Linked DNA regions of Mus musculus. The protein of the gene in region 2 purifies or fractionates together with the protein of the main gene of each other region. This does not show direct contact. Links are inferred from orthologs where the notes say so. Each region holds a gene or a part of one and is shown on either strand. Other genes may lie near its edges.

Region 1 (5,398 bases), on a different chromosome or scaffold from region 2:
ACTCTTATCCCTTATAAGTGGCCTACCTCAGCCAAGCATGGTAGCACAGGCCAATAACTGTGGCTCTTTGGAAGTACAGGTAGGACGATCAGGAGTTCAAGATCAGAATCAAAATGAGGAGAACATGGCTGCATGAAACTCTGGCTTAAGGAAGAAAAAAAAGTATCTTGTCTGGAGGAGAAAACAGCTCAATTTTAAATCGTCTGTCTGGCTCACTAAAGGACTCTTTTAGGGATTTTGTATTTGAGCAATTATTTTTACTTGGCTTAAAAATGGAACACCACAAACGTACTATACTGACTTTCCCACATCTATACAGACAAAAACTGTTTGTCTTACACAAAATGGGAAAATAAAGTCATAGACCAGGTAAAAAGGCTTCCAGTAAATGTTACTATGCCACCATTTGTAAACCTGTTTCTAAGAGCACCCAAGGCCTATGAGGGAACTAATGAATGTGGGAAGCATGTACTAGACGGCCTTCATTTCATAGCTATGAGCACTAGCTTCAAGCCACTGGGAAACAAGAACCTCTTGTTTTGCATGTTAATATGGCATAAAGGGCTGAACTGTCTATCCATCACTACTCCATACCACAAAACTGGATGAAATTCAATATTCTGGCTCTAAGAAGTAATACCCAAATACTTACCTAGACCAGTGTCTAGGTACTCAATTAGAGTAGCAACTATTTTTCCAAACCTACATCAACTGTGTTGTGTTTTTACTTCTTTCACTAACGCTAGTTTCTGGGCACTTGACTGGCCCTACCTAAAATTGGGATATAAACAAGACTCATAAATAAGACATTATAAAATTGGGGCATTGCAGTTTCACAATTAGAGCACTTAAAAAAAGAAAAAAAATTAACAATCTTTAATTATGTGTCCAGGTGACTGGGAGGCCACAAAGTGTCAGATGCCCTAGAAGTGGAGTTCCAGGTGTTTGTGGGCCACCCGATTTATGCTAGGAACTGAACTGGGGTCCTCTGAAAATGAAGTACAGGGCCTTAACCCACTGAGCCATCTCTTTAACCCCTGATTTGTTTGTTTGTTGTTTCTCTGCCCTGGCTGTCCTGGAACTCTGTAAACCTGGCTGGATTCAAATCCAGAGATCCACCTACCTCTGCCTCCCGGTGCTGGGATTAAAGGCGTGCACCAACACTGCTGCACACCATGTTATTTCTTTATAAACTGATTGCTTCCAAGTATCAGATTTACAAAAAAGTGAAAAGTAGGGCTGGAGAGGTGGCTCAGCAGGTAAGTATGCTGCTCTCACAGAGGACTCAGGTTTGATTCCCATTACCCACTCTGGGCTCACAATCATCTGTAACTCTAGTCCCAGTGGATCTCTCTTGTGGCCTCCAAGGTCACCAGGTACGCATGTGGGGCACAGCTATAATAATACGCTATATAAATGCAGGCAAAACACTCATATGCATAAAAAAAAAGTTTAAAATTTTTAAGAGAAAACTGAACGGGCTATGGAGGTACATGCCTGTCAATCCCAGCACTCATGAGGCTGAGTTGGTAAGATGACCACCTTGAGGCCAGACTGGCCGTAATGTGTACATGCTCACACACACACACTATACACACGCAAGCTGGGCACTGTGGAACATGCCTTTAATCCTAACACTTAGCAGGTCAATCTCTGAATTCCAGGCCAACAAACAAAGAAAAAACCTAAGTTCTAATTCTGCCCTTAGTCTGGTGGTTTTCTCCCCAACTTCAACCCCTCCGTTCAGTTCTCCTGCCAGCAATCCCTCCTGACTCATCTCTGCACACTTATATCCACCACTTCCTGGAAAGCCCTCCTGGACTAAGCCCATTTCCATCAAATTCTTTTCTGGATTTGTTTTTAACAGAGTCCTACTGCGTAGCCCTAGCTGTCCTGGAACGCATTACGTAGACCAGGCTCCTCTTAAACTCATGGATCTGCCTGTCTCTGCCTCTTGAGTACAAGGCTGTAAACCACGCCAAAATGCTACCAGCAAATACGCCTTAAATTTGTGATCCCTTAGCATCTTGTACCTTGTACCAGAGTCAAGCACTTGATGTTATTCCTCCCTAGAAGTTGTTTTGCATTTTCTATCATTTCCCACCGCAGAGATACAACAGGGACAGCACCTTTCACATTCTCTGTTATACAGCTAGCAGCAATAAATGCTCCTGGAATGACTTGACTCAACAGCGAAAAACGGAGCTGGTCTTGCAATTATTTCTAAAGCAAGCAACTGGCTTCTCACTTACAATATTCCATCACCTTCAACATGTATGAGTCTTTGGAGATGAGATTTAATTCTGCCTCAGTTACATCGATACGCGTGAAACGCTGCACACAAGATCGCATCTACACTTAAGGTAAAGGCTATTCACACATATGTGATGGTACCCGTTTCAGGATTCTTATAAAATGTCTACTGGTCTTGCGGCAGCACGCCTGCCAGCGATAGGAAGCTGGCACCGGGCTCTTGCAAAAGGGGCGAAACTCTAGTTGGCAGTAAAATGCTCAAACACGTGAGCCTCCACTGTTAAACAAGGCTCATTAACCTCACAAACTTGCTGTATCAGCTCTCTGCCTTCCACAAAGTGCTGTGATCTTCTCTGGTTATTGTTGAGAGCCAATGATGGGTTAAATTCCCATAAATTAACCAGTGCTTTGGTGGTTTGCCCAAGCAAACTGCTGGCATCGGTGTGGATGGATTTAATAGACCGGCCCGCCCGGGGAGCCCGAGGTGACTAAAGAAAGCGTCCAACCAACGCTTCCCAACAGGGAAAAAAAGGAGACTAAAGAACTCGAGCCGATCGCTCTCCCGGTAGTTAGTGCTTAGTGTCAGCTTATCGTGCAAGACTTAGGGGTGAGCTTCGCACGCGGCTGCTGCTCCCCCCACCCCCTAAATCTCAGCTGAGTCTCGCTAAGGGGCGGTAAAGTAACACTTCGGTGGCTGCCCAACTTTCTTCTCGCTGGACGCCTCAGTTTTTCCACACTCTGGAGCCCCACAAGAGGAGGTCTGGTGGCCGGGGCGGAGGGAACCGGCGAGCCCCGCACAGGCGTCAGGGTGGGCAGAAACAAAGTGCGCGCAGGCGAGCCCAGGCCGCCACCCCGCCGCCTCCCGCTCGGCCCCCGCTCACCCTCCAGCAGCACCTCCTTGCCCGCGCGCTTCAGCGCCTGCACGGCCTGGTCGTGGGTGGCCTGGCGCAGGTCGGTGCCGTTCACCGACAGGATGGCGTCGCCCAGCCGCAGCGCCCGGCTCTGGTCGGCCGCCAGCCCCGGGAAGATCTTGGAGATGAGGATCGGCATCCGGTTCTCGCGGCCGCCCTTGATGCTGATGCCCAGGCCGCCCGCCTCTTGCTTCACCACTCGCACTCGGCGCACGGGCGGCGAGGCGCTCGCTTCCCCCGCGGGACCGCGGGGCGGCGCGGGAGGGCTGGGCGGCCCCAGGCCACGGTTCGGGCTCCCGGGCAGAGACTCGCCGCCGCCGCCGTTCGGAAGACCGTTGAAGGCGGCCGCCGGCGGCTCAGGCTCGACTGCGGCGGCGTCGCCCGTCAGGCTCAGGCTCTCGCCACTGAGCTCGGCCACCACCCGCACCCAGCGCTCCCTTAGAAGCAGCTCCACCAGCCCCGCTTTGGTGGCCCGCGTCCACACCGCCATGGCCGGCCCTGCTCCCGCAGCCGCCGTTGCTGCAGCTCCCCCGATTCCAGTCAGGCAGCCTCGGCGCTTCCCCCTTCCCGCCCGAGGGGGGCGGACCCCTCCCCTCCCCCCGGCGATTCATTATTCATGAGGGCCACGCCCACTTTCCGGAGGGGCGGGGGGAAGGCCGGCGAGGCCGCTTCCGGGAGGCGAGGTTGTCCTGGTTCACTGAAAGCTCTTCGGAGGTGGGCAGCGCCTCGTGCAGCGAGGCACCCCGCCGTCCTTTGCTTTGGTTCTCCGTGACCTCCTCGAACTCCTCACCTCTTCTACGAGAGCTGCCCGGGCAGGGAGAGCAAAGTCAGCTTGTAGAGAGGCTCTTTGCGATCCTGCAGGGCCGGGTTGGCGCGTTCATTCTTGCATTGATTGGTTCATTGCAAAAAAAAAAAAAAAAAAAAAAAAAAGCAGCCCTGAGCGCTCAGAGGTGTGCTGGGCTCCTTTTAAGGCCCTAGAGACACACTGAATAAAATGCACCTCAGCCGAGAGAGCTTGTGGTCTAATGGGAAAGAAAAACAGAGGCAACCAGCTAGGTGTGATTCTCTGTGGTTAAAAAGACTGCAGACCTCCCTAAGAACAGGATAAAACAACATTTGGTTAGTCTTGGTGTGAGCACAAGCAGGGGACACAGCATAAGTGACATGGGATCAAAGGTGTGGATCCAAGACTTTGTCACTGCTTTTAAAAATCACCTGTCTGCTGGCCTGTAATTAGAGGGGACCTGTCTTCTTCTTTTTTTTTTTTTTTTTTTAAAGATTTATTTATTATATGTAAGTACACTGTAGCTGTCTTCAGACACACCAGAAGAAGGAGTCAGTTCTTGTTACGGATGGTTGTAAGCCACCATGTGGTTGCTGGGATTTGAACTCTGGACCTTTGGAAGAGCAGTCGGGTGCTCTTACCCACTGAGCCACCTCGCCAGCCCGGGACCTGTCTTCTTAAGCACTGGGAACCCACAGTGCGCAAGGTCAAAGACATTTGCAGCATGCTGATGTTTTAGAGTTCCCCACAGACCAACGGGTATATATAGTTAACAAAGATTGTGCGAGATTAGCCACAAGATTATGAGGCTAAACTCCACAATCTGCCATCTGCAGAAAAAGGCTCTGAATCCAAATCCAAAGACCTGAGGACTAGGTAGAAATCTGAAGCTATCAGAAGACCAGAGAGGCCTGAGGGGGCAGAAGCGGGGGAGCAGGGTCGGAGTGGAAAGCTACTATGTAAAAGCTGGCCCAGTCCATGAAAAACCAGGAGCCCTGAAGTGTGGCAGGAGAGCGATGTCCCAGTTTTCATAGAGTGAGTATACCGCGTCTTACTGTTCCCTGGCAGCCCTCACCTGATTGGATGGTGCCGGTTCCCACTGTTGAGGACAATCTTCTCTACTCAGGTCACCATGGAAAAAATTTCTTCCGGAAACAGACACACCCAGAACGGTTTTACATCTGTCCATCCAGGCAGGCGTCTTTTAGCCCAGTCAAGTGAACACACACACACACAAAAATTAACCATCTGTGATGATTCCTTAGGAAGTTGCCAATGTGAACAAGACATAAGGTTAGTGGAATTAGGTAGTGAGTGTGCAAGGCTTCAAATAACCAAGTCCTGAAGGGTTCTGTCTTGATTCTATAAGTTTGCCAGTCTTAGTCTGGGTTCCATCTTTTTTTTTTTTTTTGGCGAATATGTAGATGACCATCCAAGAAACCGTATAAAG
Region 2 (5,288 bases):
CGATTCTAGGCTTCCCGGTCAAAAGTTCTACAAACCGTGGTCTTCTGGAAATATAGGTCCCTACTCCAAGAGCTACCCACACGCCCCTCCCCGCTCAGGCTCCTAGCATCCCTTACCAGGTGTTCTATGCGCCGGACCGGGGCTGTGCTTCTCCGCTAGAGGGAGGATGTGGGGGAGGAAATGGGAGTGGTTAGGGCAGGGGCAAGGACCAGTCTGGACCTGGTGGGGCGGGGTGGGAGCGCATGTCAGTGTTCATTCCCTAGGGACAGGACTCTAGCCCCCAACAAGCTCTAGAAGACAGTAACCAGAAAGGGCTCCGACAGCCATCTGTTGAGGACAACTGACCAATAACCACAGCACTCATTTCTACATAACCTCCTGGAGACCCACTCTGAGACCACCAGACCCCGGGGATACTAGTCAGGTTCCTTGCCTTCCCTGCCCCATCCTAGAACACACTCACCAGCTCCGCAGGGGGCAAGGCCTGACAGGATGAAGTCACCTGGAAAGAGGTGGGAGTTAAAGGCTGTGCTGGTGAAATGGGGTGCCAGGCCTCAGTAGGAAGGTGCAGGGGCTGTCACCTGATGAACAACCTCTAGCTGAGGTTCCTCTATTTAAGGGAGCCTTGCTTCTGCCTCTCGGTCTCCCACCCCTTGGGCCCCCTGCTTGTTGCTCTTGGCTCTCAGCCCCCTGCCCACACAGACCCCCATTCATCCAGCGGCAGGACAGGAGTTATATATAGAGCCAGCCAGCCAGGCAATGGCCAGGGGTGGACACTAGCCTCTTTCACCGTTGAGACCCCACCCATGGGCACAGAGCTCCCCCAAGCTAGCTTGAGGCCCTGGGACTACCCCCTGCACTGATGGAGCACCAGGAACGTTCCTCAGAGATGCAGGGCTACCTTAGGTTCTCAGTGGACAGCGGGTACCAGCTACAGGGTATTATACCTGAACAGGCTCAGCTTTCACTACCCAGGATGAGACCAACGCAGGCATCCTGAGGACCCTTTCCTCAGAGGGAAGGCACCTCCCATCAGGGTGCCTGGTCTCTGAAATCTTGCTCCCTCTCTATCCACCCCGCCCTTCCTCCCCCCGCAGCCACCCCCCCTCATCCTCTCGCCAGCTGCAGCCTGGGCACAGCACCAAGACAAACGCTGTCTCACTGTCCACCCTCCTGGGCCAACCCTCCAGGGGTGGAGTAGGGTGTTTCTTAAAGAGCCCAACACAACACCCCTGCCACCCAGGAAGGGGTGTCCAGGAGTGAGTGACAGGGGACAGGGTGACATGGTGGCCCATGCCAGTGAGGCTGAAGATGCCTGTCTGGACAGGGAAAGACACCATCTCCCCATTAGATAGAACCACATACTCACCTTTGCTTCACATTTTCTGTGTGTGGCCACCTTGCAGACTAGAGAGAGAAAGGGTAGAGGTTAGCAGAGGCTTACGGGAATAGTCAAAATAACTGTGCTCCAGCCCCACAGGCCTTAGAAGCCAGCTCTGGGACCCTGGTACACTAGGTTACTAGGAGTTGAAGAACAGAGCTGGTTATCAACAGGTTCTGCTCTGGAGTAAGGGAAGAGGGCCGGGGGTTGGGGTCTAGGATGAATAGAGGTGAGGAGGGGAAAGAGGAAGAGGAGGAAGAACAGTAGGAGGAAGAAGAGGAGGAAGAAGAAAAGGATGAGGAAGAAGAAGAGGAACAGGAAGATGAGGAGGAAGAGAAAGGGGAGGAAGAGGAAAAAGAGGAGGAGGCAGAAGAGGAAAAAGAGGAGGAGGAAGAAGAGGAAAAAGAGGAGGAAGAAGAGGAAAAAGAGAAGGAAGAGGAAGAGGAAGAAGAGGAAAAGGAGGAGGAAAAGGAAAAAGGAGGAAAAAGAAGAGGAGGAAGAAGAAAAAGAGGAGGAGGAAGAAGAAGAGGAGGAGGAGCAAGAGGAAGGGAAGACCCTAGTCACAGGTAAGGATGGGAAGGTGGTAGAGTCACAAATCTCCTGGGCTGTGGCAAGGTGGGTGTCAAGAAGAGTGAGGGCATTTGTTTCTGAATTTGCCTGTCTCTAGAGCCTGAGCCACACAGAAGTGCTGCCTGGAGGGCTCAGGCACCAAGAGCACCACCTCACCTCGGCAGGAGACACCGGTCCCATCGATGGTCACCTTACACACTGCACACACTGGAGTTTTCTTCCGGAAAACCTTCTCCCGGAAGCTGTGTGGTTCTGCTTTCCTCGGCTGCGGGTGGGATGACAGACAAATAGGGGTATGTGTTCCTAGTGGGCTCATCTCCAAGGCTGGGCAGGGACCTTTCCTTAGAGCGATGCTGCTTCCCTCTCTTCCAGCCAAAAGTCTGTGAACTCTAAGGCACACTTGGCCACAGCTGTTTCAGGGTAGTCATGAGGCCTGTCCTCTACAGGGCTTGGAATGTGACCCCTTGCGTCACCTTGGCTGGGTCAACTCCTCCCTAAGGGTTCACTCAGGACTTCTCACGTGGCGGAGCTATGTGATGTCCTTGTCACACACACCCCCACTTCCAATGTGAGGGCTTTCTGAATCTTGGCAGAGTGGGGGGTCTGACTCTCCTCCCATCTTGCCCTCCCCACAAGAGGCTTGTATACTGTGAGCTGACGGCCAGGACACACAAGCACTATCACATAATACCCAGACTGACTGCAGCCAGTTCTGAGCCCCTGGCTCTCAGTGTCCCCAAGCTCCAGGCAGCTAATATGACCCCCTCCCCCACGGTCAGAACAACATGTTTACTCTCTGTGCACTGAGGCGGCAGGCAGCAATTGTCTAAGACGTTCGCTCGGAAGGAGGAATAGCAGTGGGGACACACAGGCAGCTGCCTCGCTGCCTCTGCATGTTATGACAGGGGTGGCCAGGTTCTCCGGATGCCCCCTCCCCACCCAGAGGTAGTGAGGTCAGTGGCTGGCTGGGCTGCCACCAGTTGTCCAGGTCCCCCTTAGTCCCTACTCACTGCAAGTTTTCACTGCAGTTCTGACCCCTCCCACCCCAGTTCATCCCTCCTATCTAGAGTCTGTGGACAATCTCCCTCACTCCTCCCACCACTCCACTGCACATTCTTCACCGCTGTGTGTTCAAGCTCCCGCTGTCCCCTCCTCTCCCTGGATCTGCCCACCGTAGTGTGAAGAGGAGAATAACATGGGAGCAGCGTTGGTCCCTTAACGACTGGGGGCGAGACCCACCAGGACACTTGGACGCACTTGTGGATGATGACGTCGTGTGCAGATGACGTCAGTAGAAGGCACCCTCCCTTCCCTCATTGCCTTCTTCCCATACCTTTTCCCTCAAGCTTCCCCCGGAGGTCAGGGCTTGAGCTCTTAGCTGAACCCTCGGGGCCTATCCAGGCTCAAGCCAGGAAATACACAGAGAAGTCAAAACAGATGCTAGAATCACACTGCTACCCTACCCTAGCCACCTCAGGGGGTCAGGCGAAAGAAAGAGGAGGGGGATGCTGAGCCAGCCAGGAGAAGAGGCTGAAACTAGGAAGAGGGTCTGGTCTGGCCTGAATCCTGGCCCTCCCGCCTTGTCCGCACCTCCACCCTGCCCCACCTTTGCCCAGCTGGTGGGCACTCCTACCCTGCTGGTGGCCCGGCTGCTGTCCCTCCTCCCCAGGGCTCTGAGCAACCTTTCCACAGGGCCGCTGGACTTCATGGTGTCTGGCTGGCTGGACTCTTGGCTGCAGGGCCTGAACAATGCTGGGGCCTGGCCTGGGGCTTCCTGGAAGCAGCCTGCCGAGGCAGCCGCTTCCCTTGGGTGGAGGGGAGGCTGTCTGGCTGGTGTGTGGAGAAGCCTGGCCCTGGAAGTGGAGGGAAGTGCAGGCGGGAAGGGGGCAGGTCGCTGCTCCAGGAAGTGGGGTGGGGGAGGATGTGGGGGAGGCCAGGAGATCAGATTCCCAGGATCTACCCTGCTGGGAGTGTCAGCCTAAGATCTCTGGCTCTCCCCATCTCTGGAGCTGCCTCCCACCCAGTGGGCCACTGTGTGCAGGGGGTCTGCAGTCCTGAGATCCAGCCCTGGAATCAGCCAGTGGCACAGGGTGGGAATTCAGGTCTCAGGGCAGGGCTCAAGGGCCAGTGGAGAACACTGTGTCCCCGGCCAGTCTCTAGCCTGAACCCTCATGCTCCCTTGGGATTTCCTGTGGGAAGGGAGTGTTGCTGGGAACCAGTACCCCTGACAGCCCAGCACTCCACATCCTCAGGGTGAAAGAAAGTTAGGGATGAGGGCTAACTTCCCTGTCAGACGGGAGAAGGATCTTATAGTACCCTCCTCAACGCCAAGTTCCAGCGGGAAGGGCTAAGGGCTTACAGGAATGGTCCATCTTGCTGTAACCCAAAGCACTGGAGGTTCCTCCTGAACACCCCAGCTGCTCCTCTCCAGATACAACCCACAGTTCCTGGCTTAGCTCCCAGATCCTGCACCTGAGGTTCTACTGGGGACCCCACCCGCCCACCAGAATCTGAGCGCTACCTTCATGGCTCTTCTGGCCTGTCTCTCCTTCCTCTGTGGCTGTCACTGGACCCGAGGACTGGACAGGAGGCCCCCTCCCAACACATACTCCACCCTCTCTAGGGCCTCCTGCTTCCCTCCTGGGAATAGGGCCAACTTCCTGTCCCAGGAGTCAAGGGAAGGAGGTGTATGGGGCCCTTGGAAAGGATGGAACAACCTTCCTACAACAAGGGTCAACAGCCTGGGGGTTCCCAGCCCAAGCTCTAGACAGCAGCCTTTGGAATGCTGTAGCTAGCTGTCATTTGAAAGAATGTACACCGTGTCACCCTCATTTGCATGGTATTTACTGAATGTCCCAGTGCAACTCCTCCAGTTCTGGCACCTCTTGCAGGGTCCCACAGGACTCTCCTCTTTCTGCCTCACGCCCATCTGACAGATGAAGGGCTGCTCTAGTCCTCCCCAGGGATCCTTCAGAAGACCTGTCAGACTGAAGAGTCTGAGGCCTCTTCCCGCTGCATGCCTGTTCTCTAGGAAGCCCATCGTTGCCAGTGTACCCTGGCTAGAAGGCCCTGTGAGTGGCAAGGGGTGGGGCACCGTGCTGTAACTGGAGAGGGCCCCTGGCTCTGCAATCCCCACCTGAGTTCTGGCTGTGTCCCAGGACATTCCAGGCCGATGGCCAGGTGGGCAACCGGGGCTGTCCTGATTCCGCACCCAGCCCTGCTGGGGAAGATGGATCACTGCAGCGCCTCCCCTGATCAATTTTTTTTCCCCTCTGCTCCTATGGTACATGGGCCTACATCTGCAACCTCTGGTGGGACTGAAAGTCTTTTCCTCTGG
Region 3 (5,623 bases), on a different chromosome or scaffold from region 2:
CAGCTTTTGCAACACAATCCAGCCAGAGGAATGTGATTCATAGCTCAGCTATGCAGGAGCTAAATTTTCGTCGTGTTTTGAAGTAGGTGCCATTCAAAGGGAGGGCACAGTTATAACACTGACAGTAAAAATGCTAAAAGCAATTTGAGAATTTTTTAAAACGTAAGAAGTTAAGTAATACAAGTCCATCAAGCGGCTTTGGAAAACACGTGTGGCCGGACAGTAAGAAAAAGAACGATCCCAAATGCCAAGATTCTGGGATATAGCTCACATCTTTTTGGAGGCAGGATCTCATAGCCCAGGTTGGCATCAAACTCAAAATCTCCCTGTTCCAGCCTCCCACCTGATAGGAGAGCAGGTGTGTGTTTACGTTGTTATTTTATGTGTACGAGTGTTTTGCCTGCGTGTATGCATGCACACTGTGTGAGTGCCTGCTGTCCTCAGAGATCAGAAGAGAGCATTAGCTACCCTAGGAGTTACAGAGGGTTGTGAGCCACCATATAGGCTGTGGGAATGAACCCAGGTCACCTAGAAAAGCAACAAGTGCTCTTAACCACTGACTCATCTTCCGGCTCCCACCGGCAAGCTTTTAAAGGGTACTTTTCACATCAACAGCCTCCTGTATCATAATCACTTAACAATACCTCATAGCACCCTCCATGTTTGTAATGTTTATATACACTCACATCCACACACCTCAATATCATCACTTCTTATGAACACGTCGCTGCTTCAGTCATGCGCTCTATCTTAATTACCTCCACTGGGATGCTGCGTCATCCACACAGCTGTGCGACCCCAGTAAGGAGACAGTAAGTTCCTAGCTATTTCTAGAGTTATTTGACTAAGAACACAGACTTTAAATAAAATAGTAACAACCTAAGAACTGGCGGTCATTTCTAAACACTCTAGGCAACAATGACCTAACTCATGTCCAAATTGGATTTTTATGGTGCTTTCTCTCTCTCTCTTTTTTTCTATTGTAAACAGTGCTACAGTCAACTTCTTAAATGTACATTTATATCCTCTGCCTAGGAAGAAACTCTATAAGCAGAGTCATTCGAACAGTTGATGTTCCCTATTTAAAAAAAGCAGCACGGAAGGTTGGCAAAATGGCTCAGCAAGAAACCCAAGTTTGGTCTCCTGGATGCACGTGGCACATCACAGAAAGCTGACATTTGTCCTCTGACCCCCACTGGCGTGCTGTGGCATGAGCATCCAAACCCCCATGTACACACCAATGAGAAAGTAAATGAAATAACACTTGTCTTCCTTAGGGTTCTATTGCTGTAAAGAGATACAATGACCATGGCAACTCTCATAAAGGGAAGCATTTAACTGGGGCTGCCTTACAGGTTCAGAGGCTCAGTCCATTATCATCATGGCAGGAAGCACAGCAGCATGCAGGCAGACCAACATGGTGCTGGAGGAGCCATCTTGATGCACAGGCAGCAGAAGAAGACCGTGTGCCACACTGGGTGTCGCTTGAGCACAAAAGAGCTCAAAGCCCGTCCTAACAGTGACACATTTTCTAATAGTGCTACTCCCTATGGGTCACGCACTCAAACATTGAGTCTATGGGGACCATAGCTATTCAAACCACCACAATATTTTATAAACAAACTATCTTAACACCAAAAAGTATACACTGTAACAAATTACCCCCAGCCATGTATGGACCTTACTAACTTTATAAATAGCCATTTTAAATTTAAGAAATAGTTTGGAAGTGTGGATACTCAGAATATACTCTAAAAGTTAAATTTTTCCATAAAACTATTTTCTAGTGGACAAAGACAGAGAACCAGTGACAAATATCTAAAGTCTTTTTTTTAGTGTATTTTATTTACTATTGATGTATATGTGTGTCTGCGCACATGCCAATGTGCACGTATGGAGTAAGAGGACAGTTTCTGTGGAAAGGGTTCTCTCCTCTCCCTTTCTTTACTGGGGTCCCGAGAGCTGAGCGCGGATCACTAGGCTTCGACAGCATTTACCCACGCAGCCACCTTCCTACCCCAGAATCCAAGGTCTTCTGTAATAAAGGTTGATTCGGGACGATGCGAAGGATCACCTGGCCTCACAAGTTATAGACTCTGAGACGTACAGAGACATCTAGCTGTCTCTCTTCCACTTTCCTGTCACTTTCCACATCTCTACATATGAATTCTGTACCCCTAAAATGACATTTAGGAGATCACAGTGAATACACCACACAACATGCCGACGCACTTCCCAAAGAGTCCTTAAAGCTACAAAAACCACTGCATAGTCACAGCCTTATCTGTAACATCCAGACGTTTCACAGACCAAGCACAACCAGCATCACGAAGGGCAATGCATATCCTACTGAGATCTCATTTCCTGCACGTATTTTAGCAGTTTCGACTAAGAAATGAACTCTTACCATAACACACAGACATTTCCAACAGGAAATATCACCTTTGAGTTCTATTCAATGTTGTTGTTGTTGTTGTTGTTGTTGAAGAGTGACACGAAGGAATGTTTATAATGCTGGAGTTACAAAAGGACAATGCTCACACCCAGGTGAGAACTCTATATAATTTTCCCAGCTTAAAAAGGCCATGCTTGCTCAAAAATATCTCCCCTTTGAGCCTGTCTCGGAACCATGTTTGAAGCTCTTTTAAAAATACAGAAATTTTCATTCAGTGGGTTTGGAGCAGAGCCAACACATCTGCATTTGTAAAAAAACTCCCAGTTGATTCATTTGGAGAGCCAGAATTGAAAAGCAGTGGTTATATAATAAGCTGGGGGTGGGGTGGCATCCAAAGACCTCCAATCCGAATGTTCACATGAAAGTCATTCGTCGGTCTTAGTCTGGCTGATTTGATCACACTGGGGAAGACTGTATCTTTAGAAACTAACATTTCTAAAAGGAAAGAGAAGGTCACATGCCAGTGTTAGCATCCAACAGCAATTAGCAGGTGGGCAAAAGGTTAAGGAATCCCACCACAAAATGATCTTTCCACCAGAAACTATGGTATTCGCTACTCTAAGCATGTGATTCCTTTCCGTTTTCAGGTAATAAGGGTAAATGTTAGACTAAGCTTGTCTATCTTATTGACATCATAACTGCGCAGCATCAGTTATGCTGTAGGCAGGAGTTTCTCCCAGTAAAACTACTGCACACACAATGTAACAAAGGCAAGCTGGGAGTGTAAGATAGGCCACACAGAGACTGGAGATTGCCTTTCACAGAGCAATAGTCACTCACGGCTCAGAATTCAGTTTCTCAGAAGTTTACTTAACAAGAACAATGCACAACAAGCTAAGAAATCTCTGTCTTCAACACAGTCTATACAGAGGGCTCCACAGTGATGCATCCATTACTCACCAGATCTGGACTTAATGATGTCACTGAATTCGTTCTGCCCATCATCAGGCCTGGCTTCAAGGTCCCCATACTTGGCCATCTTGAATGAGTTTCAGTATAATCCAAAGGCTTTCCCAGATCCTCTTCTGAAGGCTAAATCTGAAAAATGGTCCAGGCTAGCATGAATACCTAACAGGAAAAGAGAAAGTATTGAGTAGAAATACAGAAACATATTCCTTATTTGTTTTTTCCTTTGCTTCTGGCACAGGTCTGTGTGTGCACATGTGAAAGGGGTGGGTGTGCATGTACATGTGTGCATGTGCACGTGGAGGTCAGAGGCTGACACTTGGGTGTCTGCCTCAACTGCTGCTCTCTACCTTTTATGTTAAAGCAGGGTCTCTGTTTGAACCCCAGGGTTCCCCTGAACTCACATCCCACGTGCTGGGATTACAAACAGGCTGCCAAATGTGCCGGGCATCTGCACGGATACTGAGGTGGGGTGTCAAGTACTTAACTGCTAAGCCATCTCCAGCCACATATAGTCTAAGACACAGTTACGGAGTGGCTTCCTGAGCACATCCACATGAGGCTTTATTTAGCACAGCCTCTTCCACGTGAGTGAGGCTTATGGACACCGAGCTTCACGGATAAAATGAAATTCACTCTATAATCAATGACCTCATTACAACCCTGATGACTGACAGCAGTCCGGAAGAGAAAGATAAAGTCATAAAGTCATAAAGTGGACGAGTCACACCTGCCCAGGGCCACTGAGAAGGCCTTCCTAAGCAATGACATTTGGGTCTATCCTTCAAGGAGAGGAAGAAGTTCACTAGCTACAGGGCAAGTAGAAAAGAGAAGAGCTTGGTATGTGAAATATTAGCGCCGCTGAGAACTGGGAGGCAGGGGGCTAAGTCCTGCTTTTGGGAAGCACGTCACACAGCCGAGGAAGAAAGCTGGGGCCAGAGATTCCTAGAGAGGCTTGGATACCTGTCTGAGGAGAAGGACAATCAGAGAGGTGACATAAGCCCGTTCACACCATGGCTTGTCAGTAGACCAGAGTAACTCAGGAAGCACCAAGGACTACAGTACATTAGAGCAGTGCTCTCATTAAAGAACTTAGGCCGTGAGAAAGGAGATGTCGAATGGAAACATTTCAGCTCTTCTCTGCATCTGAAATTGTTTCATGCTACTGCGTTAGAGAAAAATAATCCCACGCTTGACCAGACTTTACAAAAGCATCAATGGGGCCTCAGGTGATAAATGGAATCACAGCGCACCCTCTGTTGAGTATCTCTGTCTGTCGGAGAATCAATCATGAGGCTTATCATGGGCACACAAATTGGAAGAGGCTATCAAAACAAAAGGCCTAGGGAATTAGGAGATGGGTCTGTGGGTAAAGAGCCTACTGCACAATCATGGGAACCTGACTTCAATCCCTCGAATTTTATAAAAATAAAAGAGGGAAGCAAGCATGGGCATGTGCCAGCAATGCCTGTTTCCAACTACTTCCTCTGGAAACAAAGGATCATAGCCAACCAGCGAGCCCCAGGTTCAATGAGAGATCCTGTCTCAAAAATAAGGCACTATGCCAATCTCTGGCCTCCAAACTATAATACACACAAACAACACACACATCCCACAGGCCCAGTGTCACTCAAACAAAAACCACCCAAAGAAAGGTAGTTTCTTCATGGATTAAACAAAACAAAAGAGACCTGACCACCAAATACTATCCTGGGTTGAATTTTCAAAGAAAACATTTTAGGGTTTACTTTAGGCAATATTATTATACCAATGTTACACTGCAGGATTAGTTAGCAGCGATGTTAGGGAGGAGGATATCTTCCATTGTAGGAGACACTATGAAGTCATTAGTGAGAAGTATGACAGGATCTTCGACGTCTATGCATTTATATATATACAAATCGATACGCACAAGCATACATGCAAAGATACACACAGGCAGAGGAAGTAAATGTTATAAAGAAAATACGAGCAGCTCTGTATCTGTTGTGCTAATCTCTCTGTTATAACGCTGTTAATATAAGCAATATGTGATTGTGGCCTCAATGGATTAGATGGAAAAAAAATAAATAGATACACAGGATATTAAATAAAAGGTCAATAAGACTCAGGGACAGCCCTGGCATTAGAGACGCAGGATACTAGCATGCTGAGTGACTCAGCTGGCACAGGGCAGCTCAGAAGTAGACGAACTACTACTCGGTTGGGAACCGCTGAGGACATTACAGAGAAGAATGGATGCGGTTTGGATTTTCTCAGTGT

What was found.
Region 1: the proteins of Tns2 (region 2) and Sntb2 purify together in Homo sapiens (affinity purification with mass spectrometry; 4 studies listed by BioGRID and IntAct, with this or other methods). This does not show direct contact. The link is inferred for Mus musculus from reciprocal best matches to the Homo sapiens genes TNS2 and SNTB2.
Region 3: the proteins of Tns2 (region 2) and Utrn purify together in Homo sapiens (affinity purification with mass spectrometry; 4 studies listed by BioGRID and IntAct, with this or other methods). This does not show direct contact. The link is inferred for Mus musculus from reciprocal best matches to the Homo sapiens genes TNS2 and UTRN.

Annotation. Positions count from the first base shown.
Region 1 is NC_000074.6:106,934,058-106,939,455, reverse strand, and holds the start of Sntb2 (beta-2-syntrophin), read right to left. Parts: upstream 3,717-5,398; 5' UTR 3,655-3,716; coding exon 3,135-3,654; intron 1-3,134. UniProt on the Homo sapiens protein: Adapter protein that binds to and probably organizes the subcellular localization of a variety of membrane proteins. May link various receptors to the actin cytoskeleton and the dystrophin glycoprotein complex.
Region 2 is NC_000081.6:102,101,458-102,106,745, reverse strand, and holds the start of Tns2 (tensin-2), read right to left. Parts: upstream 3,813-5,288; 5' UTR 3,660-3,812; coding exon 3,585-3,659; intron 2,217-3,584; coding exon 2,108-2,216; intron 1,408-2,107; coding exon 1,370-1,407; intron 503-1,369; coding exon 464-502; intron 156-463; coding exon 117-155; intron 1-116. UniProt on the Homo sapiens protein: Tyrosine-protein phosphatase which regulates cell motility, proliferation and muscle-response to insulin. Phosphatase activity is mediated by binding to phosphatidylinositol-3,4,5-triphosphate (PtdIns(3,4,5)P3) via the SH2 domain.
Region 3 is NC_000076.6:12,858,213-12,863,835, forward strand, and holds the start of Utrn (utrophin), read right to left. Parts: upstream 3,524-5,623; 5' UTR 3,435-3,523; coding exon 3,356-3,434; intron 1-3,355.